4 linked regions of the Pelodiscus sinensis genome follow. The protein of the gene in region 4 interacts with the protein of the main gene of each other region in a pairwise test. Links are inferred from orthologs where the notes say so. Each region holds a gene or a part of one and is shown on either strand. Other genes may lie near its edges. The genes, in order: ZGPAT, FAM161A, KIF5B and zinc finger and BTB domain-containing protein 8A.

Region 1 (7,087 bases), on a different chromosome or scaffold from region 4:
CAGCAGCAGCTGACTTGGGGACGCCTGGGGCAGAGCAGCTGGGGTGCTGCTGGGTTGGTCCAGTAGCGTCGCCGCTCCTCGGCGCTACTGGACCAACCCAGCAGCACCCAAGCTGCTCTGCCCCAGGCGTCCTGATTCAGCCGCTGCTGAAACTGACCAGCAGCAGCTGAATCAGGACGCCTGGGGCAGAGCAGCTGGGGTGCTGCCGGGTTGGTCCAGTAGCACCCAGAGCGGCGCTACGGGACCAACCGGCAGCATCCCAGCTGCTGTACCACAGGCGTCCGGAGCAAAGCCGCGGAGCACGGGGGCAGCGGGACAGCCCAGATGCGCCGTGGCTGTCCTGCTGCCCTTGGGCTCCACGGCTTTGCTCTGCTTTGCTCCCCGTCTCCCTGGTCTGCAGACCAGGGGGACGGGGAGCAAAGCCGCGGAACACGCGTCTGGGCTGTCCGCTGCCCGCGTGTTCCGCGGCTTTGCTCCCCGTCCCCCTGGTCTGCAGACCAGGGAGACGGGGAGCAAAGCAGAACAAAGCCGCGGAGCATGCGGGCAGCGGACAGCCCAGACGTGTCTGGGCTGTCCGCTGCCCGCGTGCTCCGCCGCTTTGCTCCCCGTCCTCCTGGTCTGCTGGAGACCAGGGAGACGGGCCCCGTTCGTAACTGCGGATCCGACATAAGTCGGATCCGCGTAACTCGGGGACTGCCTGTATTGTGTTTAGTTCTGGACACCGCATTTCAAAAAAGATGGAGAAATTGGAGAGGGTCCAGAAAAGAGCAACGAGAATGATTAAAAGTCTAGAGAACATGACCTATGAGGGAAGGCTGAAGGAACTGGGTTTGTTTAGTTTAGAAGAGAGACGATTGAGGGGGGACATGATAGCACTTTTCAGATATTTAAAAGGGTGTCATAAGGAGGAGGGAGAAAACTTGTTCATCTTGGCCTCTGAGGATAGAGCAAGAAGCAATGGGCTTAAACTGCAGCAAGGGAGGTTTAGGTTGGACATTAGGAAAAAGTTCCTAACTGTCAGAGTGGTCAAACACTGGAATAAATTGCCCAGGGAGGTTGTGGAATCTCCATCTGTGGAGATATTTAAGAGTAGGTTAGATAAATGTCTATCACGGATGGTCTAGACAGTATTTGGTCCTGCCATGAGGGCAGGGGACTGGACTCGATGACCCCTCGAGGTCCCTTCCAGTCCTAGTATTCTATGATTCTATGATTCTGTGCTTAATGAAGCCCATACAACTGTGTGTCTGCAGGCTTACTGTACTAAAATCAGATAGGCAGGATCAAATTCAGACCTGGGGTAACACTGCTGAAATACCGAAGTGACAGCAGGGAATAAATTGGCCTGTGCTGGTTTGGGAAGAAGTGAATGGAGCTGTGTGTGCTCCTCCATGCTAATGGGCTACTAAAAGCACATACCGTTTTCCCCGCATTGTCCAGCCCAAGGATCAAAATGCAGTACTCATCCCTACGGAACATGTACTTATATAGTCCAGACAGCAGCGTATACATCCTGCTCCTGCAACAAATATCAAGATGTCATCAGCAAAGGAGTTTTCCCCGAAGCCTCTTTTTCAACTGTATAATTCTGTTCAACTACCAGATAACAATACAATTTTATATATATATAGCATTTCTCCCCATGGGGGATCCCAGAGCCAGTTACGAACTCTAGGAGACTGACTTTTAAAAGAAATGAAGGCCAGATTTTCAAGTGTTCAGACTCAACACTTGGGTGTGGATTTTCAAAGAACTCAGCTCTTGTTTAGGCACTTAAATAGGGCCAGATTTTGGAACATGCTCAGCCCCTGGCAGCTTCTATCACTATACTCATGGCCAGATTTTCAGCACAGCTCAACCACTAGCATACACCCTTTATGCTGACCATTTCTGAAAATCTAATCACTTATTTTGGTAACTACATGGGAGCTTGTGAGTATTTGTCTAGATAGCTCCCTGAAATGTAGGTGCAAAGGAAGATAACAGCCAGATGCACAGTAGCTGCACATGTCCAGAAAGGAGTTATCGGGACTAATGCAGAAGGCAACCCAGTGGCTGTGTCTAGACTGGCAAGTTTTTCTGCAAAAGCAGTTGCTTTTGCGGAAAAACTTGCCCACTGTCTACACTGGCCTCTTGAATTTCCACAAGAACACTGACTTCCTACTGTCTGAAATCAGTGCTTCTTGCGGAAATACTATGCTGCTCCCATTCGGGCAAAAGGGCCAGTGTAGACAGCTCAGATTTGTTTTGCACAAAAAAGCCTCAATTGCGAAAATGGCGATCAGGGCTTTTTTGCGGAAAAGAGCATCTAGATTGGCACGGACGCGTTTCCGCAAAAAGTGCTTTTGTGGAAAAGCGTCCGTGCCAATCTAGATGCTCTTTTTCTCAAATGCTTTTAACGGAAAACTTTTCCGTTAAAAGCATTTGCGGAAAATCATGCCAGTCTAGACGTAGCCAGTGTCTGTTGAGATGTACCAACGCAGCCTTAAAGCTCTCACTGAACAGAAAGGACCTACGTTTTAAAAGCATATGCAGTTTTTTGTGAGAATTTGAACATTCCTCAGTAGAACCTCCTCTTGCAGTGTCTCTAGTATATGCACTGCTGCCTCACCAGGCATGAGGACCAGTGAAAGTGACTAGTCAGTAACCTGAGTGAGGGTAGTCGATTCAGACCAGACAGCTGGGCTGCTGTACAAACAAGCTCCCTTTCATAGGGTTTGCATAGCACAGATGCACACATGCACTTTGCCCAACTGAGGCAAAGTTCACTTGAAGCTTATGAATGGGATTATATTAGGTGCTAGCCTGTGACCTTCCCTTCCACACCTGGGGGGCACTGATCCCTCCTGGGAGGTAGAGGATTATGGGTGACACCTGCAGCAGTCTGAGGGAGACGCAGCCCTGGAGGCTGGAGCCTCCCAGCATGTTTTGGGTGCAACCTGGATCCTCCCCCCCCACCACCACAACCCACAATGTGCAAGGGCAGCCTGTGGCACCCACAGTCCCAGCTCGCAAAGCTTCCCTGTAAACGAGGGACAAGCTGCTCCGCCAGCCTGGGCAGCACCACCTGCAACTGGGACCAGGAGCCCCTGCGAGTCGCTTGGCTAGAACAGAGGTCGACTCCCCACCAAAGGCAGCGACACCTCATCTCCGGAGCCCAAAGCCTGGGGCAGGACCCAGGGATCAACCCCCCCAACCCTGGGACCCCCAGCTCCGGCCGCACGGCTGGGGCCCGCCCCATAGACCCACCTCGGACCCCCAGCTCCGGCCCCACGGCTGGGGCCCGCCCCATAGACCCACCTCGGACCCCCAGCTCCGGCCCCACGGCTGGGGCCCGCCCCATAGACCCACCTCGGACCCCCAGCTCCGGCCCCACGGCTGGGGCCCGCCCCATAGACCCACCTCGGACCCCCAGCTCCGGCTGCACAGGTGGGGCCCGCCCCATAGACCCACCTCGGACCCCCAGCTCCGGCCGCACCGCTGGGGCCCGCCCCATAGACCCACCTCGGACCCCCAGCTCCGGCCCCACCGCTGGGGCCCGCCCATAGACCCACCTCGGACCCCCAGCTCCGGCCGCACCGCTGGGGCCCGCCCCATAGACCCACCTCGGACCCCCAGCTCCGGCCCCACGGCTGGGGCCCGCCCCATAGACCCACCTCGGACCCCCAGCTCCGGCCCCACCTCTCCCCGCCCCCCGGGCTGCACAGCGGGGGCCAGGCCCAGACACGCCCCCTCCCGCTCGGCCCAGGCCGGGGGGCCCCCCCGCGGGCAGGGGGAGCCCGGCGAGCCGGTGACTGGGGGGGCTGCAGGCTCCGCCCACCCGCGGAGCTGGGGGACAGTGATGGCCCCGCCCCCTACCTGGGTGACGGGTCTCGACGGCTCCTGCCACTCAGCCGCCCCGCGACTCCCGCTGCAGCTCGAATCGGCTCCCCCCTCCCCCCGCGGCCGCCTCCTACCCCCCACTGGGTGGGCAGCTGTCTCCGCCCCGTGCCCGCGGGGCACCCTGGGAAGCGTAGTTCCTCCGGCGCCAGGGACTCGGAAGGGGAAGGCCTCTTGGACCACCGCTCCCAGAATGCTCAGCGCGCCCAGCCGCGGGAGGCGTCCTCGCTTCAGCCCGCCGGAAACACCATTGGAGGAGGAGCTGGAGGACTGGCCCGCCCAAGATGGCGACGGAGCCGGAAGTCGACTCTAGCCGGAAGCCGGGTGGTGTCTATGGTGTGGCCTGTTCCGGGAGGCGGAAGCCATGGCAATGGAGAGAGTCATGGCGGCTGCGCTGGCTTAGCGGGAGCGGGCGGCCTGAGGTAAGGGAGGGGCCGCGGGGGCAATGGAGGTAACCGTTCCCCTGGGGTCTCCATGGCGACTGAGGGGAGTAGCCCCTCCCCCCGCCGCTGGGGGAGCTGCTGTGTCTCACATGGGGGGAGGGGTCGCCTTGGCTGGGGAGGGGTTAGATCACGTGAGGCGGTTGGGAGTTATTCTCCCCCCCCCCGGTTGCTATGGCTGGGGAGGTGCTGGGCCCCCTCCATGGGGACTCTTGACCCCCCCCTCATGAGGGATTTTCAGCTTCCCTCTGCCCCATTGAATGTGAGGCAGGGGGCGGCAAAGGGGGCAGCCCCTGGATCCTGCAGAGCGGGGGGGGGCAGAGGAAAGGTGCGGGTTGGGCGCAGCCCAGGGGTCTTTGCCTCCACTTTCACAGCAGGTTTAATGCCGCCTGCGTGGGAGGCAACGTGAGCAGAAAGATGTAAGAACAACCAGACTGGTCCATCCAGCCCAGTGTCCTGCCCACAGTGGCCAATTCCAGGTGCCCCAGAGGGAGGGATCACAACAGGGAATCCTCATGTGATCCCTCCCCTGTCACCTATTTCCAGACAAACAGAGGCTGGGGACACCATTCCTACCCATCCTGGCTAATAGCCACTGGTGGACCTAACTGCCATGAATTTATCTAACTCTTTTTTCAACCCTGTTAAAGTCCTAGCTTTCACCACATCCTCTAGCAAGGAGTTCCACAGCTTGACTGTGCAATGAGTGAAGAAAAACGTCCTTTTATTTGTTTTAAACCTGCTGCCTATTAATTTCACTTGGTGACCCTTAGTTCTTATATTTGGGGAGCAAGTAAATAACTTTTCCTTGTTCACATTTTCCACACCTGTCATGATTTTATAGACCTCTATCATATCTCCCTTTAGTTTCCTATTTTCTAAACTGAAAAGTCTGTCTTTTTAATCTCTCTTCAGATGGGACCCGTTCCAAACCCCTCATCATTTTTCTTGCCCTTTTCTTTACCTTTTCCAATGCCAATATATCTTTTTTCAGATGAGGCGACCACATCTGTATATAGTATTCAAGATGTGGGCGTACCATGATTTTATATAGAGGCAATAAGATATTTTCTGTCTTATTTTCTAACCCTTTTTAAATGATTCCTAACATTCTATTTGCTTTTTTGTCTGCTGCTGTACACTGAGTGGATGTTTTCAGAAAACTATCCACAATGACTCCAAGATCTCTCTCCTGAGTAGTTGTAGCTAAATTAGTTCCCATCATATCGTATGTGTAGTTGGGATTATTTTTTCCAATGTGCATTACTTTACATTTATCAACGTTATATTTAATTTGCCATTTTGTTGCCCAATCACTCAGTTTGGTGAGATCTTTTTGAAGCTCTTCACAGTCTGCTTTGGTCTTAACTATCCTGAGCAGTTTGGTATCATCTGCAAATTTTGCCACCTCACTGTTTACCCCTTTCTCTAAATCATTTATAAATACAGGCAGTCCCCAGGTTACATGGATCCGACTTACATCGGATCCCTACTTACAAACGGGGTGAGGCAACCCCGCACTAGCTGCTTCCTCCCAGCAGACCAGGGAGACGCGAAGCTAGCGCGCCCCCCCCCCTCCCCAGCAGACCAGGGAGATGCGGAGCGGCTTTTCTCAGCAGACACCTCAGCTTGAGAATAAAGGACTGAGGGAAGTGAGGTGTGGGAGAATAAAACTGAGCTCTGGAGAAATGTTTGGCTAGAGTTTCCTCTACAATATGTACCAGTTCCGACTTACATACAAATTCAACTTAAGAACAAACCTACAGTCCCTATCTTGTACGTAACCCGGGGACTGCCTGTAAGTTGAATAGGATTGGTCCCAGGACAGACCCTTGGGGACCCCACTTGTTACTAGTTATAATTAAAGAGGAGGTAGGGAGTGGTAGTGTTGTGTCATGGGACTGCAAGTTTAAAGGGACAGAAAAGTAAGGCTGATGTTATTCGCATGTCCTAGTTAATCATGGTTGAATTCTGAGGTAAGTTAAAAGCTTAACAGTTTTTCAAGTGCGATATCAACGGGGCAGGTTGAATGTACATGACACGAGCCATGTGTGTATAATGATATACGGTGGTAGCTGTTTGCATTACAGATATCTATTCAATTAGGATGGCTATCCTTGTGACTGCTTTCTCTAATGAAGCTTTATAATATTTGTTCCCTGCAGTGTTTTTCATCTGGTTGCAGCAAAGGGAAGAACACAAGACTACTGCAGAGATTGACAGCTAGTTTGGACAGAGACTCCATATTTCACATTTCTGTCCAGTAAATACTTGAGTATTTACCAAGTTCCCAGACAGGAATCAGCGAAACAGCTCTTTGCAATAACAATGGATGAAGAGAGTCTGGAAGCAGCAATTCAAACCTATAAAGCCCAGTTGCAACAAGTAGAGCTGGCTTTAGGGGCAGGGCTCGATCCATCACAGCAATCTGACTTGATCCAATTGCAGGAAGATTTGAAGCAATTGATAGAACTGACTGAATCCAGCCTGGTGTCAGTGAAAAAGAGCAAACTGCTGGCCAATTTAGACACCGATGGACCCTCCATTTCTCCAGCAGGTTCCCTAAAACAGGACAGTAATTCTGGCAGGTCCTGCAATGATGATGAGTATGATGCTTTTAAGGAAGCTATTGCTGAACTTGGTGGTGAGGACAAGCAGTTGTGTACTAAAGACATGGCCTCTCCAGAACAAGATGGAGAGGATGATGGGGGAAATGAATTGAAGTACAGTGACGAGGAGGAAGCGTCTGAGGAAGAGGAGGAGGAAGT
Region 2 (7,362 bases), on a different chromosome or scaffold from region 4:
TCAACCAGTGATACTATCACCCTAATAGTAATTTTACCATATTGAGCAGTATCAAAAGCCTTATTAAAATCAGCATGTATCACATCTACAGCATTCCCTATCCCAGTAACCCCGTCAAAGGAGGAAAATAGGTTGATTTAGTATTATTTGGCATGATTGACTTGGCAAATTATGTTTATTCATGCTATTATTTATTACTCTATGTCAGCTAGATGCTTACACACTGATTGTTTAATAATTTGTTCCAGTATCTTTCTAGGTATTGAAGTTAGGCTGACTGGTCTATAATTCCTCTTTGTTCCCCTTTTTAAAGATATGGGGTATATTTGCCTGTTAGTCATCTGGGACTCTCCTGTCCTTCATGAGTTAAGATAATCACTAATGTTTTCAAGTCTGCTTCTGCTAGTTCCTTAAGTACCCTAAGATGAATTTCATCAGGCCCTGCTATCTAAATATTCCTTAACCCTGTTTTTACTTGTGTTCCTTTCCCCTTATTATATTAATAAACTGTTTGATTTACTAATAAATTAAGCTTTATACAGGCAGTCCCCGGGTTATGTACAAGATAGGGACTGTAGGTTTGTTCTTAAGTTGAATTTGTATGTAAATCGGAACTGGCGTCCAGATTCAGCCACTGGTTGAAACTGACCAGCGGCTGACTACAGGAAGCCCAAGGCAGAGCTGCTCTGCCCCGGGCTTCCTGGAATCAGCCGCTGATCAGTTTCAACAGTGGCTGAATCTGGATGCCTGGGACAGAGCAGCTGGGGCGCTGCCGGATTGGTCCCCGCAGCACCACACCTTGGCGTTGCGGGGACCAACCCGGCAGCGCCCCAGCTGCTCTACCCCAGGCATCGGCGAGAAAAGCCTGGTCTGCTGGGGAGGGGGGGGGGGGGGGGCGCACTAGCTGCGCTCCCCACCCACAGCAGACCAGGGAGAGACGGAGCAGTTTTTCTCACTGCAGAGGACGCGGGCGGCGGTCCTGCCGCCCACATCCTCCGTGGCGAGAAAAGCCCTGTTCGTATGTAGGGATCCACGTAACTCAGGGACTGCGTATAGTGATGATGGAAGCAACATAGGCCTTAAACAGGGCAGTCTTCTTCAAATCATCCATTACTAGTTTTCCTTCCCCCCCCCCCAAGTATCAAACCTACATTTTCCATTGTCTTTCTCTTGCTCCTAACACATTTGTAGAACCTCTTTTATGTTCCTTGCTAGGTATATCTCATTTTGTGCTTTAGCCTTTCTGATTTCATAGCCACTCATTTACTGTTCTTTTGTACTCACCCTTAGTAATTTCTCTCCATTTTTGTAGGATTACTTTTTACTTCATCTTCAAACCCCTTCTGTTAGTGCCTAGTGCATCACATTCAAGCTCTTTGTTCTCATTCTCATCACGCTACATAATCTTACTCTCATCTACATGTCTTTTCCCATTTACTCCTATTTCTACCTTTCAGTATGCTAAACTCAGCACCACCTCTTGCTTTAAAGCTGTCCCCTTCATTCTTACCTTCACACCTTTCAACATCTCTTCCCTGAACTTGAAACTACACTCCGCTTTCTACCCCTCTTTAAAACACATTTTTACAGGAATCATTCCTATATTCTCATCAATAATCTCCTTTATCTCTTACAGCTCTTGTAGCATCTTGTTTTAAAAAGGCAGACTTGGAACACGGGTGTCCTTATATATCAGAAAATACTTCACCACATGCCAAAGTATTTCCTTAAGAGACAAAACTTATATTACTTTTAGTTTTAAAATCTCACTTGAAGACAGAATTAAAAATACATCATTAATCCAGAGACTAATCTTCAGAAGATCATCTTACCCTATTTAAAATGTAAACCCAGTGTGTTTTGTTCCTTAGCATTATTGCAGTTGCCACAAGGAATATCATAGCAACATATTGGGGGTGAGGGAGGATCAGACTGGTAGCAGTCTTCTGGAATTTTCACCTTCCTCCACAGTGTGGGATGCAAGTTGCCTGCTAGGATCATCTTTGTGCAGCTTTCAATCAATTTCCTGCCATTCCAAGGGCCTCAGGCATTGGTGGACATTGGTTCCTCCTGTTCTCTGCCTGTGGCGCACAGTGGTCAGTCTCCTGGAAGCTGAAATACCTTAGACTAATTTTGGTAGTGGCATTTAGCATGCAGGGCGGTGCTGGTGCCCTGTGTTTACAGGAGGTCAGTCAGATCTGGTGACCCTTTCTGGCTGGAAAAGCAGCCATCTGTCTACTAAATCCTAGTTCTCCTAGCAGGTTGGGACAGTCACTGGACTTGATGGAACTCCATAAAGCACAGCATCAAAGCCATGAAAAGGTTAGCAGGAGCTAGGCAGCCTAGGAGAATGCCACCGGTTCCACGTTTTCTAATGCATTGCCTCCCTTATACAACAGAGACATTACTTGACATAATAGCGATCAGATGCTCACAGACTTTCACCCCCATGGGCAGCAGATATAAGAGGCAGGGAAAGGCATTGCCTTCTCAAACGGCCACGCATGGTCCCACCCACACTCCGCCCCCTGCTTCAGCATGGCTGCCAGGCTTCAGCTGTGCCGAAGTGGGGATTAGCGGTACCTATCACCCTTACTGGGTAATGCTGACCGGTCCCCGTTAACCGGTGGGGGCTGGAGCGGCTCCCTACGGCTAAGCCCCAGCGATGTGCGGGGCGCAGGAGCCCCCCCCTCGCCCTGCGAGAGCGCCCCACGGCCGGAGCCGCCAGCCCCCGGCTCAGGCGGGGGGGGAGGCTCCCGCGCAAGGGGAGCGGGATGTCGCTGCCCTCACCCGGGGGGCGAGCGGCGCAGGAGACACGGCCCGGGCTCCCCGCCCCGCCCCCGCGGTACCTGCTGCTCCACGGCGGCCGCTGGGCGCCTCTCCCGCTCGTACAGAGCCACCGGCGCCCTGGTGCGCGGGTTCACGGGCGTCCTGAGGCAGGAGGCGGTGAGGAGCGCAGCGCGGTGCGCCGCGTCCATACTCCGCGGGCAGCGGCTGGCTCGGCCGCCGCCTCTGGCTCCCAGCTACAGCGGTTACCGGGGACGCTACGGCACGTCTACTAGGACAAACCTATGCGGACTGCGAGTCAAGCCCCAAGCTGAGACTCCGCCCTCCTAGAGCCCTTCCGGACCGCGGCGCGACGGGAAGTTCGGGGACCCCGGAGTGCGGAGATTCCTGCCCCGCTGTTGGGGAGGAGGGGGCTGTCAGTCCTCCCTTCTGAGAGTTGCTGCGCCTTTCTGCTCAGGCTGTTCCCAGGAAGGCTGGATGCACACCCCGCGCCAAGTTAGCTTCCTCGATCAGTTCAGCGTAAGGGTAATTCAGTGCTAGATGGGCTGGAACCACAGCCGATGGGCAGATGTATCTTTGTCAGAGTGCTTCGAGTCTCCACTCGATATGCTTGCAATGGTTTTGTGCCACTTCTGCTGCTCAAGCTATGATTAGTGACAGAAGGTGCTACCCTCTCCCTTCCCAAACCCCCTAGGGATAAAGCAAGTGTATTTCAGCCAACTTTCATTGAACTGAAACATGGGAACGTCACCCCAGGGGAAGAGCTTGGGCCATCCCAGTTGGGGGAGTTAATTGGCCAGAGACCAACTGAGTAGTTCTTAGAACAGGGGTGAGCAAGATGCATCGGGTGAATCAGTCCACCCCTACAGCATAGGACACCCAAAGCAGCAAGCTGCTCCTTGTTCCTTCACTGGGGGGAATGGGAAGAGGCTTCCCCTGGTGCCCCACAGTCAGCAAAATCTCTCTGCCCGTTTGCCAAAAATCCACCAAAGGGAGCTAAGAGATTTTGCTGGAGGGAGTAGAAGCGCATGAACTCCTCCATCCCCCGCCCACATCACAGAGCCACATGGAACAGAAGGCATTTAGGGTTGTTGCCAAGCACTGAAGCTTGTTTGGAGCAGTCACCTGTCCAGTAGCTGTTTGCATAAGCACTTGCTAGCAAGAGCCTGCCTTTGGCACCCCACCCCCTCCAATGCCCCTATTATCTCCCAGACTCTGCACACTCTGCTACACTCCCAGAATGTATCTTTAACCCCTCCTGGAGCCTACACCCCAATGCACTGGACCAGGTCACAACCTCCTCCTTCACCCAAACTTCCTCAGATCCCACCCCCTTTCCTGCACCCAAGTGGCCTGCTCCTGAACTCCCTTCTACTCTCAATCAGTAGCCAAGACCTCACTGTCTCCCCCCACACCTAGAAAAGTGTGACCTTGACTACTTACCAAAAGCTTGGAGTCTCCCCCTCCACCAAAAATTATCCCTAAACTACATACAAAGATGTTAATATTAAGTCTTGGATTGCAAAGATCTGTAAAGTCAGCATAAGATCTATTTTGGCAGCATATTTCCTTAAGGCCCAAATATGAAATATCTAAAACTGTATTTACAAAATTAGATCAGCTTCAATCCTGTAATAGGGTGCTTGGCATGTTTATTACCAACCTCGTGTGACAACTAATGACCAAATACTAGAATGTGATCCTGAAACATAACTTACAAAATCTCAACTAATAAGTATTTCCATTTGCAGTTAATGAAGGAAACTTCAGCAATTAAAGGCTAGAAGCCTTTGTCCTGGGTAGCTGAAGTACAATGAAATGTATTAAAGGTGTGTTGGCTGAGAGACAAGACATTGGCATATAGGCATTAATGGACAAGGAAACATTTGCAGAAAGAAATGTACACTTTAAATTACAGGGCAAAGTACAGTCCTATAGTTGCCATGCACCATAGTGGCTGTAACAACTCCTTGGGTAGGAGAGGAAGGATGAACTATTGTTTTGGATGAATTTTGCAAAAACAGGTCTGAGGTAGTACAGTTATTACTAAGATTCCATAGTAAGAGATTCAGAGGGGTAGCTGAATTAGTCTGCAACAGGAAGAAAAACCAGATAGTCTAGTAGCACCTTAAAGACTAACAAAACACATAGATGGTATCATGAGCTTTAGTGTCCACAAAAGCTCATACCATCTACGTGTTTTGTTAGTCTTTAAAAGGTGCTACTAGACTATCCATCATTTACGTTTTTCCACAGCAAGAGAATTATTTCAAAAGGACAGATTTCAGAAGCTAAATTTAGATATCAAAATAGGTTCACGTAGTGAGAAAGAAAGTATATGATTAACAACAGCAAAACTAGCAAAATGTTAGTATCATTTGGTGAGTTTTTAATGCAGATTTTCAATTATAGAACATTGTCTTTCACTTATGAACTAAGTTTGTCTCGAGAGCAGAGAATTTATTAAATTAAGTTGATAAAAGTACATAAACGTAAATGAATTTTAGCAGAATGCTTGACACACGGATTCTTTGAAGAAACCATACTCCAGACTACACCGTAGATACTCTGGGCTGTACTGCCATTTCCTTTAGTCATCTTAGCGAGTGTTCACCTGCAAAGATGAGTTAACATGATCAGATTATGTGGATGGGAAACAATCATCAATATCCCTCATCTTAAAGCGATCACTTCATACATAATCCTTTTGTATCCTGTGCTTTAATCTGGCCTGCTGTGTTAACTAATACTTGGTTTTGAGTACTGTTTTCCCATAAGACTGGTTTCATTTTTAACAGTTATCAGGAAACTGCTGAATTACATGGAAAGGGCATATAACTATTCACTTTAAATATGAATCCTTTACACAAGGGATATACCTTGTTCATGTCACTGTACTGCAACATTAACAGAACATGATAATAAAAAACATTACTTACCACATCATCAATCTTAAGAATACTGCGGACAGTTTCTGTAGCTAGTGTCAGAGCACTGACAGACACCAACAGAGGCTGGACCACCAGCTCCTCCAGGATATTGGAAATTCCACCCTACAAAACAAGAATTATAGCCTCAGCAGTATAAAGCAAACAACAAATTTGATTTTAACATACCTGTAAATTATCCCCAGTAGCCTCCTATCTAGCATAATTTTAAAAAGAGAAAACAAATACCTTATCAGCAAATAACCATACACAGTTCATTTGAACGCACTCACGTCACAACAGCTGAGTGAGCAGGTATTTTACCCGGTGGCTACATCTGATGCTCTCGCATCCAAACATGTTTCATTTTCAAAAAATTAATGTCTCTAGTTCTTATGGCTGAAGAGAGAACTACTGAGACTAGCATCTCACAGGTTGTTTTCCAGCCATCTTTGCTAGTTAAAAATGTATTTGGCTGCTAAAAGTCTCAGGTGCACTCTAACTCACCTTCCTTACTCACACTACAGGATTTTTAGAGTGCACCTGAGATTTTAGCAGCCAAATATATTTAAACTAGCAAGATGACCGAAAAATAGGATTGCTAACATATGGAAAATTGAGGTTTTGGGAACAAAACATTGTCCCATTTAGAACAAAATATAAACTTGAAATTTCTCATGGGACAAATTCTGAAAAATCTCATTTCAGGAGAAGCAAAATAATTTTTTTAGTTTGTTGTCTGTCCATCTGAAAGATGATGAAGAGAGGCACTCAGGCTACACAGGAGACGGTGCAGTGGGCTGCTCTGCCTCCCTGCAGATTCTAGGTAGCCTGCACAGAAGTCATAATTTCAGTTTCTCAACCAAATGGAACTTTTCAGTTGGAATATTAATATTTGCAAAAAGGGCACTTTCAATCAAAAAAAGTCTGATAAGATTCCTAACCATGTCTACAACTAGTCAGTTTTAAAAGCAGTTTTTAAAAGCAGTTCTCAGACCATGAAAATTGTTATATTGCAATGATATGCAAGGTTGATTGAGGAGGGTTTTGGGCTACAAGTTGGGCAACCTTTGTCTGTCTTTATTCTCAAGTATATTCCATCAAAAGGATCAAACTGTTTAACTGACCATCATTCATATAATCCTTTTGTATCTTACCTTTCTGACATTAATGCCTGCTGTTTTCTCTCCTTGAGCATGTCTGTTTCTCAGCTCTGTTACCGTAGAAATAGGGTTAAGACCTGCATTTTCAGCCAGTGTAGATGGGATGACTTCCATTGCATCTCCATATGCACGGACACAGTATGAGTCCATACCACTCAAAGTACGAGCATACTCATTCAAGCGAAATGCTAACTCTATCTCTGGTGCTCCACCTCCTGCAATTAGAGCTCTGAGGGGGAAAAAGTAAAATTCTGTTAAAAATACAAGCTGTGGTCTTTGACAAACATTTAAGTGCTTACAGTTTACTGTATGATTTGTGTATGAAGCCACTATATGAAGAAAGCATTACCTTTTTTTTACTAAACAACGTATGACACACAGAGCATCATGAATTGAACGCTCAGCTTCTTCCATAACTAGCTTGTTGGATCCACGTACAACAATTGTAACGGTTTTTCCAGGGCTTGCACAGCCTGTTACCTAGA
Region 3 (7,054 bases), on a different chromosome or scaffold from region 4:
CAGCATTACAGCTGCATATCAAATTTAGTGATGCTAGCTCTTAGCATTAGGAGTTCTTGAACAAAAAGAACTCTCAAACTAAATTTTATCTCAGAGAATGTTTTGGAATCTTGCCATATCTCAGGAGCAAAGCAAAAATGCTTAATGATGGGAATTCCAACATATTCACTGTAAAGAGCATTTGTTTCCAGTCCCAGTGGTTGGACTAACAGTGAGATAAGACTTAAAAGACTGTCACTGGTATCAAATCCCTATGACTACTGAATGTTTTACATTGGGCCATCACTATTGCAGAAGCATAAGGTTATTAAAGTAGTAATTACAATGCATGTTAATTCCTTACCAACTGTCAACTGTCCCCACCTGGTCCCTAAGGAGAATGACTAATTCACCTCACACTTACTTAGTGAGTGGCTAGCCCAACTCAGATGTTATTTTGCAATCTTACTAGAAAAGCAAACCCCACACTATTGTGATGTTTTCTTCATTACCCAGGAAAAATTCTAGCTTTTGCTTTGGCGGTAAAAAGTTGTCAAGAACAAAACAATCAGCTTTTTTTCCCAGTTTGTAAAAGGCGGCTACCTACACTACATGGGTAATGTTTCCGAGTGTCCACTTCAAATTTTCTCACTTTTATTATATGAAATCTAAACCATGAATCCTCCCCATGAATATCAAGCCCCTGCCCTATTAGCAATGATGCCCTTTGGTCCAAAAGGTAGTTTCCAGAAGGTTAGAGAATTGGGAATTAATAGACAGTTTATCACCTAGAAAATTATATACATCTCAGGAACGGACCTTACAACTTTTGATTTCAGAGGGGACAACATGGTGTTTGTATGAATGGATACTCAGAACCAGTGCTGGCCAAGATGTGGCCCGGAGCCAATTGAGCCCACCTAACATTTTGACCCAGCCCACAGACTGTGTGTGGATGCTTTCTATTTATATTCTGCTGCCTGTGCTACCGAATTTCCAGGCAGAGGCTCACGCGGCAGGATCCTATTTAAAATGGATCACGGCTATAGTGCTACCCCAGCAGGGACTGGAGCAGTGAGCCCTTTAAATAGCCACAGCAAGCCTGGGCAGCTGTCAGGCAATGTGGTAACAGCAGGGCTGGGAACTGTGAGCCCTTTGCAGTGATTTTAATTTAAAGTCTCTGGCCCCAGACAACTCTGGGGAAAAGGTAGTCCCGAGCTCTGTCCCTTCTGCCCCAATCTCTACCCTTGGGGTGAAGCCGGCCTGTGATCACATACCAAAATTCATTAAGTGCCCCCCCCCAGCGAAAATTATTGACCATCCCTGCTCTGGACCAAGCATGAGAGTTAGTGTACTTACTCTGATAGTGACATCAGCTTAGTCATATTCTGCATTTGCTAACAGTCTAGCTAAATGATGAACAAGGCTTCTGTGAAACAATGAGAATTAATGAGGTCTGCAGCACCAATCTGATCTTGAATGGGCCAACAGCTCATTTCAGGAGCATTCTGTTTACTTTTCAGTGGCCTACTCACTACCAACCTGAACTGCATTTATATCAGAAACAGCAAAAGGTTGCATATTCCATTAGCAATGCATTAGTTTTTCCTAAAACTGAATTTAAGAAATACTTTAAAGCCTTGTACTATAAATATGAAATTTTCTAACAAGTTTTATTTACTGTTATGTATTTGTTCCAGTTCCAGGTTAAGCTGCTATGAATAACTGTTTAATTTGGGTTGCTTCAAAAAGATAATAGTGTGCAGAATCTGAAATCTAAACAAACATCAGTAAAGTATATTTTAAAGTTATATTCCTCTCTAAATGCAGAATTCTGATTCCATGTAGCAAATTATTCATCTGAATGTGCAGATTAAGAATGTGTGAAACATGAAAAAAATCTCTCTCTGTGCAACCCATTTATCAACAAATACCAATGAAACCACAGAAGACAGTTACTATAAGTGAAATAGAGAGTTAAACCATAAAGTTAATAACTCATTCTACAGCAGCTGCATTACAAACTGGCACTGCTGGAATTATCTTTTTCAGGATACCAACCAAATCTCTTTGCATCAAGCTTCTATTTTGCAGTAAGCAATTTTTATTAAATTAAAATTATAATTGTGTGTGAAAAAAACAAAGGCATAATTTGACTATTTTATTGGGCAAAGTATTAGCCACTAACCCACTGGTTGGTGGACTGATCACAAAACACACTCAATAGATTTTATTTTGCCAAAACTATTCAGTGGGCAAGTTACTCTGGTAATGTCTCTCTTAGGCATTACCTTAGTTGCCAACCTTAATTAGGTTACATAAAAAAGTCTAGTTCTTTTGAACATTTTCTTCTGTCCCCATTCACCGTATGGTCTTACCTCACTTCAAAACTACCACGTAAAGTCATGCCCAAAGTTTCTAGCGCTGTCAGTAGCTCTACAAGAGGTCTGTGAGGCAGGGAGGTTTTGCTTAGGAGGCAGTTTTATAAGTTCATACACACCGCCCGGCCAACCCCTGCGCCTGTCCTGCTCGTTCTTCTGCCCTGTCACACCCCCACGAAGCTGCTCCCCTTGTCTGGCCCCCTCAGCTCCTCCAGCTCCCCATCCCCTCCTCCGAGCCCTCCCCCTTCGTACCGCGCCCATCCCCAGGGTATCCGGCCCCCTCCCCAGCCCGCCCCGGCGCTCACCGCGATGATGACGGTGTCCTCTCCCTGGAACTTGGTGATGTCTTTGTCGCCGCGGTTCCGCTCGGAGTCGTTGAGGGGCCTGAAGCGACACATCACTTTGATGTTACATTCCGCCGGGTCCGCCATCTTAGGCCAACGCCGCCGCCTCCGGGGCGCTTAGCCCGGCCGCCGCTGCCTCCGCGCCGCTCACTCCGGGGTCCTGCGAGCGGCCGCCGCCGGCAGAGCAGCGCCTCGCTGAGCAAAGGGCAGAGGGGAAGGGCTCCTGCCTGGCCGCCGCTGCCGCCTACTGTTCTCACTTCCTCCCCAATATGGCAGCCATGGCGGCGCCTGCAGCCGGCGAGTCCAGGCCCTGCCCTCCCCTGGCAGAAGCAGCCTCGACAGCAAGGCAGAGAGGGGGTGACGTCACTCGCCGCAGAGAACACCTACCCCTCCCCGCCTCAAATTCACCACGCAGGCGCGCATCGAGGACAGCGCCGCGGCAGCAACCGAAGAGCTGCATTGCGCAAGCGCTCACTGTGTAGGGCGGGAGGAGATGAAAACATGGTCACTGCCGTATGCAAAAATCTCCTGCGCAGGCGCACAAGTTGTCTTTGGGCGCCGCTGTAGCGCAGACGCAGTCATTGGGTGAAGGAGGCCGACGGGGGGAGGCATGTGGAGGGCATGATCGGAAGTCGCAGCAGCAGCGGGGGGCGCCCTTCCTTCAGGGGCAGGGAGTTGGGGAGCAAGCGACAGGGAGGTGCTGCTAGCGGAGCATTCACAAGGCGCTGAGCCTATCAGGGCTACCCTCTCTGTAGCTGAGTCGACCCTCAAAGGCTTCCCCCAGCAGGCACCCTCCTTTCAAAATACACCCCAGGGCTCTGTTTTGTGTCATTGTTTTTAGCATCACAAAATGACATTAAGCCATGGCTTTCAGAGATCACAGATCCACCCAGCTATGCCTCTGCCATCTAAATGAAACCTTGGGCATTGGTGTCACATGAAGAGTCCCTGTGGTTTTCTATCAGTTCAAAATAATTTTCCTCTGAAATTGTGATCGGAAGCCTTAAGTTATGTGGCTTCTGGACAAATTAAATTAATAAACAGCAGGTTTAAAACAAACAAAAGGAAGTTTTTCTTCATGCAGTTCACAGTCAACCTGGGGAACTCCTTGCCAGAGGAAGTGGTGAAGACTAAGACTTTAACAGTGCAGCAGGCACACAAGAATTCTTGGAGCATCTGAACTCGCACAGTTTGGTGGCAGGCATGATAAGGGGCCTACCAGGGCACCATCTTGAAGGCAGGAAGGAGAACAGGGTTCATTCATGGCAGTGGGGCGGGGCAGCAGTTCATGCCAATTCCCTCCTTTTTGTCTGGCTCAACCTGCTTGCCAGAAGAGTATTATTTTTCGCCTTCCTGCAAGAGCCCGCAGGCGGGAGGACTAGAGGAGGGGCCGAAGCCTCCTCAAGAGCTGCAGCCGTGCTTCACCGGGGATGGGCAAATGGAGGTTAGTAGCAAAAGCAGCAGCTAATAGCTTCTCCTCCTTCATCCAGGTTGCCATGTGAGATATCAGTCTTCTCTGAATTACACACAGAGATAAGGAGCTGATGCTGACTAAATGCGGTCAACAACCTAGTTCTTACGCTGCAATGCTTTGTGCTGCAATGCCACCGGACCACTTTCTGGTTGTGTGGCATAGGAACGTGCCCTACCATGAAGTATGGAATAAGGCTGGCCTCCCCAGAAACTTTGTGAGACGGATTAAAGACTTAACTGTACAAGAGTTTTCTGGAGCTGTGCAGGGGAGATTCCCACTCCATCTCCGGACATGTTAAGAATCTGTTCCAGGTTCACCCCACTGTGTAGGCACGGAGCACAGCCAATTGCTTTAATCTGCTGGTAGCAAATAAAAAATGTGAACTCATTGGAAAGGTCCTCCTTTACATCAGTGCCTGACTGTGAGATGTCCCGGGAGGAAGGGATTATCTCTAAGGTTATAAAAAGTTCTTGGTTCTTGGTCACATCAACTACCCACTTGCTTGCTGACCATTCTTCTCCTCCTTGCTGTCTTCCACACTGCTACCCTGATGAGTGTCTTGGGAGGATTCCATGGTCTGGTTTGGGATGCTGATTGGGTCTCCACCAGTGTCAAATACAGCTGCTTGTAGAAGCGACATGTTTGCAGCGATGCCCCAGACCATTCGTTTTCCTCCTTTGTCTTGTGCTCAGCTTCTTTATTTTCACACAGCACTGCTGGGCATCCCTGGTGTATCTTTTCTCCACCATGGAGTTGCATACTTCGCATAGATATCTGTGCTACATATGCTGGTTCAGAGCTTCACGAGAATTGATTCCTCTCCCCATGCATCTCTGAAGTCCAAGATCTCCTTCATGCTCCATGCTGGTACTCATCTGCACAAATGAGAATTGAAGCTCATGAAACTTGAACTCATGGAACTCATGCCCAAGTATGCTGCCTGCTCTGAGATCTGCTTGCCATGCTGTCCACACAGGAAATTAAATTCAGAGTTTCCCAGGGATTTTTCTGTTCACCTGAAGAGTGATAGAGTCACAAGCCCTGACCAGAGCCATTACAGTGGGATGCCTCCAAGAGGCCAAGAACATCTACTTTTACAATGCTGGGACTACACTACAGTAAAGTTGACCATGCAAGGTTGAATTTAGAATTACTCTTCATGAAAAGCAGGAGTACCAAAATTGACTTTAGTAACTCTTAAAGTTGAAGAAACGGGCTTGGCAGTGTGGACTCATTGTTTAGAAAATTTCCTTATGCAACTAAATTCCACCTAAACTCCTAGGCTACGTCTACATTGCTGACTTGCCGGCAGTGCCTATACAAATGAAGCATGAATTAGCATATCACCGTGCTTCATTTGCATAATTTATTTAAGCCTTTTTTGCACAAAACCCCTTTTTGCGCAAGATTCTTATACTTCTCCTAGAATGGCATAAGGATCTTGCTCAAAACAGGGTTTTTGCAAAAAAAAAACCCTGTCCACACTGCTTGTTTTTGTGCAAAAACCCTTTGCACAAAAAGGGTTGAACAAATTATGCAAATGAGGCACGGAGATATGCTAATCTGCGCTTTATTTGCATAGGCACAGCCAGCAAAGCCAGCAGTATAGACAAAGCCCTAGTGTAGACCAGTCCTCAGGAAATGAAGACAGAGTTGTGTGTGAAACAGGTTGTGACTGCCAGATGTGAGAGTAGAGTACAGGTCTGGGGGAGCAGCAGAAACTGGTTAGGGCGCCAGTACTGAGGGACCCAATGAGAGGCATTAACTGAACCTTGCCTGCAAACCTGGAAGTTCCTATTTGCTTGAATGAAATCTGGAGTGGAGCAGGGCTAAAGAGCCTTGACTTCTTCAAGTGGACCGCCCCAGTGACCCAACCAAAAACTGTTGTTCATTTTGAATGGTAACTGTTCAAGCCTCTGTAGCTAGGGTATTTGCAAACTGCGGCTTTCCTGCCAGCCCTTTTCACGTAGCCATGTGTCTGAGTGGTTATGGGGACTCACTAGGGTAATGTCTATAAGGTCTAGTTGCTGAAGAACCTACAATACTTGCCTCAGAATAGCAGTGTGTGTGTGCATGCAACTGGTACCCTAAGGTTTGGTGCACTCAGACACTGAGCAGTCCCAATAATTGTGCTAGCCCATCCTAGGTCATGTAACTGGGAATTATTCTAAATATTACCAATTATCCCAGTGTATCCACAGCTGTTTCTCAGTTTAATACATGACATAATTTGTTAAAATCTAGTTCTGTGTTGTGAGGCAAGTTTGCAGTCTTCTCAATCAAGATCATGTTGTAACAAGCCCATCCTTCTGCTCTAGTTGAAACCTTTGCAGGAACATACCGTCTTAATCAGGACAGTAACAGCTACACCTCCCAGACACGTAAGTACTCTATGCAATAATTATTATTCACAGGGTGTGAATACAGTCAAATGGGGCACAAGGCTTGATGCAGTAACTGTTCCCCTTTGTCAGGGAGTAAGGGGAAAGTGCTGCATTCCTCACTGTGGCTGGGGAGCACAGGGGCAGATGAATCTGGACCTGCCCCAGCTGGAGGACATGCACCCCTCTCCCAGCTGTGCCAACTGGAGCTGCAGCAGTCATGGAGAGGCACTTCTCACCTGGCCCCCAAGCTGCTTCTGTGAGAGGAGTCTGGGGGTAGTCTTCACTCCCCGGGGCAGCCTCATCACCACCCCCACCCCAGAGCAATGGTTTAAATGGAGCATATACATTTCCGTTTTATTTTCCAAAAAGCACAAATAATTGAATTAAGGACCCAAGCAATGCTAGGTAAATCGTCTAGTTTCTAAATAAAAGAGCCTGTTTATGTTTGTTTATAATTTCAGAACTGTGATTAGTTACTTAAACATAAACCAT
Region 4 (7,862 bases):
TAATACTTCTATAAGAACTTAATAAGATCCTATATTCCTTTTATAGGGGAAAAAAAAAGCCCACTTTGGTTCCAACTTGAAAGAGTAGTCTCGGATATTCTCTGTACTAAAGAGAGAACTTTGGCTAAAAAACAGCTACTCAGTTTCTTTTCCATAAACAGCTCATAGTTCATACGATGGAATTATGTATGCACCTGACTGCTCTACATCCTGAGGATCCTTGTGGACAGCTCCGCAAAGACTTCTGCTCAGCATGCAACAATGGTAAAACACCACAAGTATTACAATGTAAAAAGGAAAGGATTGAAAACTACTATGAAGAGCTAATACCATCAGCTGGTACACTCTCCCTTGGAATAGTGTATTCAGTTCTGGACACCATATCTCCAAAAAGATACTGCAGAAATAAAAAGGAGTACAAATCAACAGAGCTAAAGATTTACCCTTGCTGAGAACCTACCCCAGGGTCCCAATGGTTTGCTAAATACCTTCAATGCATGATTTTGTGTTTCTGTGTCTACCTAACGGCACAGGGGTTAATGGAATTAAAGCGGGAGAGGAAAAAGTGAGAGCTCTAATTCTATGACACTCACCTCATTTTGGAATCCTTCCAAAGCTTGAGAAACCAATTCAGAACTTGGTGACTTACAGTAGAGAGGTACCGTTCATGCCATTACAGAATTGGACCACTTAGGGAATATTATTTTCCAATCCTGCATTTGTAGGCAATGCAGCTGAACATATTCCCTCCCCCTGCCTTTTGGACACAGTCAGATATTTTTCCCCATCGACAGAGCTGGTGATACATGTTTTCCATTGCAACTTTCACCCAGTAAAAATTCAAACATCATCTTTGAAAGAAAATGAGGAGAGAGGTACAAATGACCAACTCTTACCTTCAGCCCAGCTCCCCATTACACCTAAAATTGAGGGTATGTTGCCATACTGCTCATCGGCTTTTGAGGACTTTGACTTGCTAGAAGAATGGGGTGATTCGTGTTCTTGCTGTGTAACAACCAAGCTCCTTGGCATCACCTCGGACCCCTGACCATACTGGTACCCAGCATGGGCAGAGTCAATTTCTGTGTCAATTTGGACTTCCTCCTCAGATGGAGAAAGGTGGCTAGGAGGGTCTGCGGATCGGTCTTCAAGCTTGCTTGACTTATAATGGGGAACGTCGGAGGATTGTTGCAATCCCAAATGTCTAGTCTTTTTGATGGACTCCTGCCTTTGGTCATGTTTGGCCAACTGCTGCTGCGCATTTCTCTGCGAAGCTGGATAGTAGCTGAAATTGCTCCAAGCATTGCCACTCATCACGCAAGTCCCTTGATCAGGGTTTAAGTGAGAATGAGGGGGGCTGTTTTCCGTTCTCCAGTCAGCCCCATACAAGCAGGAGCGTTCCACGCCATTGGAGTTCACATCTTTGTCTGACAGGCTGAAATACCGATCCTTCTCCTTCTCACTGATGTCCAGGGAGGACTTGATGAACGTCTTACACACACTAATAACGTCAGTCATCTGAAGATAGCTGGCAGCCGACATGACCTCAATCACATTGTGGCCAGTGAGGGAAAGTTTGCCAGAATACACAAAATCCAGAATAACTGTAAACGTGTCAGGAGAAAAGGCCTGGAAGGTAGCAGTGGTTGGCTGACTCGGATCCTTTGAGCTCTGGGAAAGGAGCATTTTGAAATAACCACTAGTGGCAAACAGCACATTGCGATGGGCTTTGAAGACCTTCCCCTCCACCAGGATACAGCAGTCACAGAACAAGTCTTGCTTGCGCTGCTCATTGAGTTGCTGCAGGAGGTGAAACTGATGGGAAGAAATCTCCATTCCAAAAAAAAAAAAAAAAAGAGGGGGCAGGGGGGCAAGCAGGAAGCCTTGCTCTGCAATAAAGAACAGTTGCAAGCGTGACAGGCTGCATGTAAACCAGAGGGGCTGCCACCAATTCCAAAACCAGGTGTGTTTTTAAGAGCCCATTCGTTCTCAAACCCACAAGAGCCCAGAGAGGGGAGGCGCAGCCCTGACTCCACGCCGCATCCTCTGGGCAGAGGGGACCGAGGCGGCGGAGAGAAGCAGCCGCGCACAACTCGCCCTGGACACCAGCTCCCCGCACCGGGACATTGGCGGAGGGCGCCGCCACTCAGCGCGCGCGTCCAGCCCGAATTGGTCCTTCCCCCCGCGGGAGCCAGGGGCGCCCGACGGCGCCAGACACGCCCGCCCAGCGCAGGGGGCAGCGCCTAGCGAGGGAGAGACCGCGGCAGGCGGGGCCGGCCGCTTTCCTCCTCCGCTCCCCTAGCGGCCGGGCCACCAGCGCCCGAGAGAGGCTCGGCGGAGCTGCGCCCCCCAGCCGGCCGCTGCGCCATGCGCCCGGGGACACCAGCCGGCCGCTGCGCCATGCGCCCGGGGACACCAGCCGGCCGCTGCGCCATGCGCCCGGGGACACCAGCCGGGCGGACAGTGCCCGCTTGCAGGGCGCGCCTGCACCCGCTGGCGTGTGTCCATCCGGCTCCCGCCTCTCTCCCCCTTTGTGCAGCCCCGCCGCGGCTGCTGCCCGCCTCGCACCCCCCGGCCCCCTTCGCCCGGCTCCCCGCCGCCCCGCTCCCCAGCCAGCCCTTTGTTGCCGGCCCCTCGCAGCCGCGCCTCGGGCTGCAAATGGCGCCCGCCGAGGTCTCTGCAGACGCCGCTGGCTCCGGGGCGAAGAGGCGGCCCCCGAGAGCAGCGGGGCCCCGGGGGTGGCCGCGTCAGGGCCCCAGCCCCCTGCGCGCAAGGCAGCCGGCGGCAGCGCCCCACCGCCCCGTGCAAGCGGCTGGCTGCGGGGCCCGCTCCCAGCCCGCAACGCCCAGTCCGGCCCGCCGGCTGCGGGGCCGCCACTTACCGGCCGGGCTCCGGGCGGAGCGGGAGGTGGGTGCGGGATCCCCCAAAGCCCGGCGCGGGGCGCTCGGTGGCTCGGATGCAGCTGGCGGGTCCCGCCGCCCCAGCCCGCGGAAGCCCGAACGGGAGAGAAACAAAAGGGATTTGCTGACGTGGGCGTCGGACAGAGACGCCCGAGGGCTGGGGACACAATTAAAGGGGCAACGCACCGATTGCAGGCGCAGCCCAGCAGCTTCCGCTGCGCGCCTGGCGGTAGGGGCTGCATTTCCCTCTGCTCCCCCTCCTCCCCTGCAGCCCTCTCCAGCCCGAGCCGCTTCCTCCCGCACCTTGCTGCACAGTGGGGCCTTCGATGCCCCACATCCTTGTGTCTCACGCCAAGCCCGGGCCTGACTCTCACCCACTTTCCCTTCAAGGCCGGGCTAAGCCCTCAAGTTGTTCTCAACCCCTTCAGATTGTATCATGTAGGCCCTGGTGTCCCATTTCTTTCTCCCCCTGACTGAATGGCCACTCTGGGTCAGACCAAAGGTCCATGTAGCACCCTGTCCTGTCTGTGGAGGGTGGCCAGTGTCATGCAGCGGACAGAACAGGATTGTCAAAACTCTCAGAGGGGTGGCTGTGTTAGTCTGTAACTAAAAAAACAATGGCCTTGTAGCCCCTTAGCGACTAACCAGAAATACAGATCGAATCATGAGCTTTCGTGGGTACAAAGTTCATGATACTATCTATATTTTTTGGGTAGTCTCACGCCATAGGAACATTCGTTGTTGTTTTTTAGGTAAGCATCAAGTGAGCCCTCTCCTCTCACCCATTTCCAGCCTGACAGAGGTAAGGGGAACCATTCCTACCCAGCCTGGCTAACCTTGTGCTCTTCAATGGAAGACTTCAATGGGGGACTTGCTCTTCAGTGGCATTTTGAGCTCCAGTCCTTTATCACCCCTTGCATGCTCCACTTGACATCCTTCCTGGATGCTTGAAGAGTATTCCTGTAGCACCTTCGAGACTAACAAAAATATATGTATAGTATCCTGAGCTTTCATGGGCAAAACCCACTTCCTCATATAGCTCACGATACTATATATATTTTGTTAGTATTGAAGGGTATGTCTACGCAGCAGGGCAAAAGTCGAATTAAACCATGCAGCTTCAGTTATGTCAACTGCATAGCTGAAGTTGAAATAATGTAATTTGGCTTTTGGCTCTGTCTCCACAGCAGGATGTCGAAGGAAGAACACTCTTCCTCTGATTTCCCTTACTCCTCCTGAAATGAGGGTTACAGGAGGCAGAGTAAGAAGTCCTCCAGCTCGCCTTATTTTGAAATAACGGCTTGTGGTGTAGACGCATATTTTGTTATTTTGAAATCACATCAGTTATTCCGAAATAACGCTGCTGCGTAGACGTCCCCTTCTACTGCTACTCCTTGTTTTTAAAGTTACAGATTATACAGCTACCCCTCTGAGACATCAAAAGAGTATAGGATGCTTCCTTCCTTCCTTTTCACACTTAACTGAGCACACCCTGGGTTGACAGGATGCCCCAGTTCCTTACCTGCCATGATACAATACAATAAAACAATTATGATTTTATACATGAAATAAATGCATTAGCTGCCTGCAAAAAGGGCCAGATTTTATGTTGTTTGGTTTGTCAGAGAACAGATACACAGACTGTACATATATACCGCACATAGGGGTGTAATCCTTGTTTACAAAATTATACACCAAATTCTACAGAGCACATTCTGTTTGTATCTAACAAAACACAACCTGAAGTTGCCAACTCCGCCCTTAAGAGTACTGGTTTGTGAGTCCCTGTATTTATGTGTAAATGGAGAGCTGTTGACAAAAGGAGACATAATTCTTCATTTGTGGTAAATAAACTAACACCAAGTACTTAGATGAGTATCATCATCACAAATTTCTCTCTGTGCTTTTGCACTGCTTCAAAATGAATTAGCGGCTAACTGTGTAACATAGGGCAAATCCTGCAGTCCTTAGTCAAAACAGCTCACATTTACTCAAATTGCAGGAGTGGGGGGATTGTAACAGAGTGAAGACTGAAGAATACGAATCTTCCCTGAAAGGTCAGAAATAATCTATAATGAATCTGCAAGTGCCAAAAAGAAAGATAGACACAAAACAGTCGGACTGGAAGCTACTGTCTTCCACAACTTCAGTTTCCTGATTCTGTAGTGTGCCGTTCTAAATTTATAATTCAAATGAATGAATGGCAGATTAGAGTGGGACATGGTTAAATTTAGGTCTAAAAGAGAATGGCATTTGTCATATGAGTAGAAACTACATTGGAGAAATATTTCATCTAGGAACTTTGTTTCACAGAGGGCAATGGCATGGATATGTGATTGGTATGTAATAGAATGTAATATTTTCTCCTTTGAAGTTAAATGTTTTTATTACTTGCAGCTTTATGCATTCTTAAATACAACATGTATTAACAGTGTATCTATTTTATTAGGCAATAATCTGAGGAATAATTGCTATAACATTTTCATTCAGAATTAATAAATATTGTTTTTATTTTCTAACCACAGACCTGATCCTACAAAGACTTGCTTCCTATGAGTTCAGCAGGTCTACAAAGGTTCTTGAAGTTAAGCATATGCTTAGGTTTTTCAGAACCACAGCCTACATTTGTCCTAGTAGCCAGACATTCCTGTGAAACAGTGACAATAGAGAACAAAATCGATGTTCTGGAAGATAATATCCCATCGTTTTACTTTGGATAAAATTACAGGAATGTTACTTTACATGTGTGAGAAGACAGATTAAAAAGATTGAGACTTTTTAGCTTAGAAAAGAAGAGACTAATGGGGGATATGATAGAGGTCTATAAAATCATGGCGGATGTAGAGAAAGCGAATAAGGAAAAGTTATTTACTTGTTCCCATAACACAAGAACTAGCTGTCACCAAATGAAATAAATAGATAGCAGGTTTAAAACAAATGAAGTCGATGTCAGGTTGGCTGTCAGTTTCTAGCGGAGTATCCCAAGGATCTGTTCTAGGACCAGTTTTGTTCAACATTTTTATTAATGACCGGGATGAGGGGATGGATTGCACCCTCAGCAAGTTTGCACTTGACACTAAGCTAGCAGGAGAGATAGATACGCTGGAGGGCAGGGATAGGGTCCAGAGTGACCTAGACAGATTAGAGGATTGGGCCAAAAGAAATCTCATGAGGTTCAACAAGGACAAGTGTAGAGTCCTGCACTTGGGATGAAAGAATCCCCAGCATTGTTACAGGCTGGGGACCGAATAGCTAAGTAGCAGTTCTGCAGAAAAGGACCTGGGGATTACAGTGGATGAGAAGCTGGATATGAGTCAGCAGTGCGCCCTTGTAGCCAAGAAGGCTAATGCCATATTGGGTGCATTAGGAGCAGCATTGTCAGCAGATCTAGAGAAGTGATTATTCCCCTTTATTCAGCTCTGGTGAGGCCACACCTGGAGTATTGTGTCCAGTTCTGCCCCCCTCCTCCCCATAGAAAGGATGTGGACGCATTGGAGAGGGTCCAGCGGAGGGCAACCAAAATGGTTAGGGGGCTGGAGCATATGACCTATGAGGTTAGGCTGAGGGATTTGGGTTTGTTTAGTCTGCAGAAGAGTGAGGGGGGATTTGAGAGCAGCCTTCAGTTTCCTGAAGGGAGGTTCCAAAGAGGATGGAAAGAGGCTGTTCACAGTAGTGACAGATGACAGAACAAGGAGCAATGGTCTCAAGTTACAATGGGAGAGGTCTAGGTTGGAGATTAGGAAAAACTATTTCATTAGGAGGGTGGTGAAGTACTGGAATGAGTTATCTAGGGAGGTGATGGAATCTCCATCCCTAGAGGTTTTTAAGTCTCGGCTTGACAAAGCACTGACTGGGTTGATTTAGTTAGGATTAGTCCTGCTTTGGACAGGGGGCTGGACTTGATGACCTCCTGAGGTCTCTTCCAGCTCTATGATTCTATGAAGTATTTATTCACGCAACATAGTCAACCTGTGGAACTTCTTGCCAGAGGATGTTGTGAAGACCAGGACTTTAACAGGGTTAAAAAAAACCTAGATAAATTCATGAAGGATAGGTCCATCAATGGCTATTATCAAGGATGGGCAGGGAAGGTGTCTCTAGCCTCTGTTTGTCAGAGGCTGGGAATGGTAACGGGGTGGGATCACTTGATGATTACCTGGACTGGTGCACTTCTTGCAAAGAAGATATTTGTTCTTTGTACATAATTTTTTTCAATGGGCACCATGCAGGTTTTAGTTTCTATAGCTTCTTTATTTAGTCCTAGGTCTCATGTTTCTCACTTTTTGAGTCTGCAGGAGTTGGCGTTGGATGATTGGTAGGAAGGTCTCTTCTAGGGGTGGAACTATTGCATCAAAACCAGTAGCTCAGAAACCAGACAAATAGTCTTATCTTGTAAACTGGCTCTAGAAAAAGGAGATTGAAATCTCCTTCTCTTCATTAAGATGCTAATAATTAGCATACATTTTACAAAGTGTGTCTTTCTTGGTTTCACTTAGATATAAAACTAGAATGAATACCAGAAAATGCTAAAAGATCTCAGACATGTATAAAATATATTTGTCTTGAAAATCCAAGAACTCAAATACAGTATTTTTTTTCTTTAAATGTTATGTGTTTGCTAAAGAAAAGTTCTGCAGCTAATATACAAAACAAATTGCTGTAATAAGGAAGACACACATGAACACACATTCATTTATTTGAAAGATAAAATTTGATGGATGAGTTGTAACAGATTTTTTCCAAACTAAGAAAATATAAGTGCCATATGCTTATACTGCAATTCTTTCAAAATACAGAACATAAGAAAAGTTTAATGGTGCCCTTGGCTACAGAGCAGTTTGAGTGACACAATTCTCTTTCTGCTTCACAATGGAAGAATTTTTTAATTCTCATTCCATAGTTCTGGATGAAAAATGTATCCAATGAAAAAATATGAACAGGAATAATAACCCTTAGAATGTG

Evidence for each region.
Region 1: the proteins of zinc finger and BTB domain-containing protein 8A (region 4) and ZGPAT interact in binary tests that used the Homo sapiens proteins (3 or more experiments, as listed by UniProt). The two-hybrid records come from large-scale screens. The link is inferred for Pelodiscus sinensis from reciprocal best matches to the Homo sapiens genes ZBTB8A and ZGPAT.
Region 2: the proteins of zinc finger and BTB domain-containing protein 8A (region 4) and FAM161A interact in binary tests that used the Homo sapiens proteins (3 or more experiments, as listed by UniProt). The two-hybrid records come from large-scale screens. The link is inferred for Pelodiscus sinensis from reciprocal best matches to the Homo sapiens genes ZBTB8A and FAM161A.
Region 3: the proteins of zinc finger and BTB domain-containing protein 8A (region 4) and KIF5B interact in binary tests that used the Homo sapiens proteins (3 or more experiments, as listed by UniProt). The two-hybrid records come from large-scale screens. The link is inferred for Pelodiscus sinensis from reciprocal best matches to the Homo sapiens genes ZBTB8A and KIF5B.

The regions. Positions count from the first base shown.
Region 1 is NC_134728.1:3,544,733-3,551,819, forward strand, and holds the start of ZGPAT (zinc finger CCCH-type with G patch domain-containing protein), read left to right. Parts: upstream 1-4,077; 5' UTR 4,078-4,301; intron 4,302-6,484; 5' UTR 6,485-6,647; coding exon 6,648-7,087. Other genes in the region: ARFRP1 (ADP-ribosylation factor-related protein 1), read right to left, coding at 1,420-1,512. UniProt on the Homo sapiens protein: Transcription repressor that specifically binds the 5'-GGAG[GA]A[GA]A-3' consensus sequence. Represses transcription by recruiting the chromatin multiprotein complex NuRD to target promoters.
Region 2 is NC_134713.1:180,771,383-180,778,744, forward strand, and holds the start of FAM161A (protein FAM161A), read right to left. Parts: upstream 3,016-7,362; 5' UTR 2,979-3,015; coding exon 2,850-2,978; intron 1-2,849. Other genes in the region: CCT4 (T-complex protein 1 subunit delta), read right to left, coding at 5,387-5,401, 5,727-5,840, 6,872-7,106, 7,227-7,357. UniProt on the Homo sapiens protein: Involved in ciliogenesis.
Region 3 is NC_134712.1:229,673,543-229,680,596, forward strand, and holds the start of KIF5B (kinesin-1 heavy chain), read right to left. Parts: upstream 3,011-7,054; 5' UTR 2,792-3,010; coding exon 2,666-2,791; intron 2,515-2,665; exon of another isoform or gene 2,358-2,514; intron 1-2,357. UniProt on the Homo sapiens protein: Microtubule-dependent motor required for normal distribution of mitochondria and lysosomes. Can induce formation of neurite-like membrane protrusions in non-neuronal cells in a ZFYVE27-dependent manner.
Region 4 is NC_134735.1:3,441,620-3,449,481, forward strand, and holds the start of zinc finger and BTB domain-containing protein 8A, read right to left. Parts: upstream 3,017-7,862; 5' UTR 2,882-3,016; intron 1,890-2,881; 5' UTR 1,837-1,889; coding exon 897-1,836; intron 1-896. UniProt on the Homo sapiens protein: May be involved in transcriptional regulation.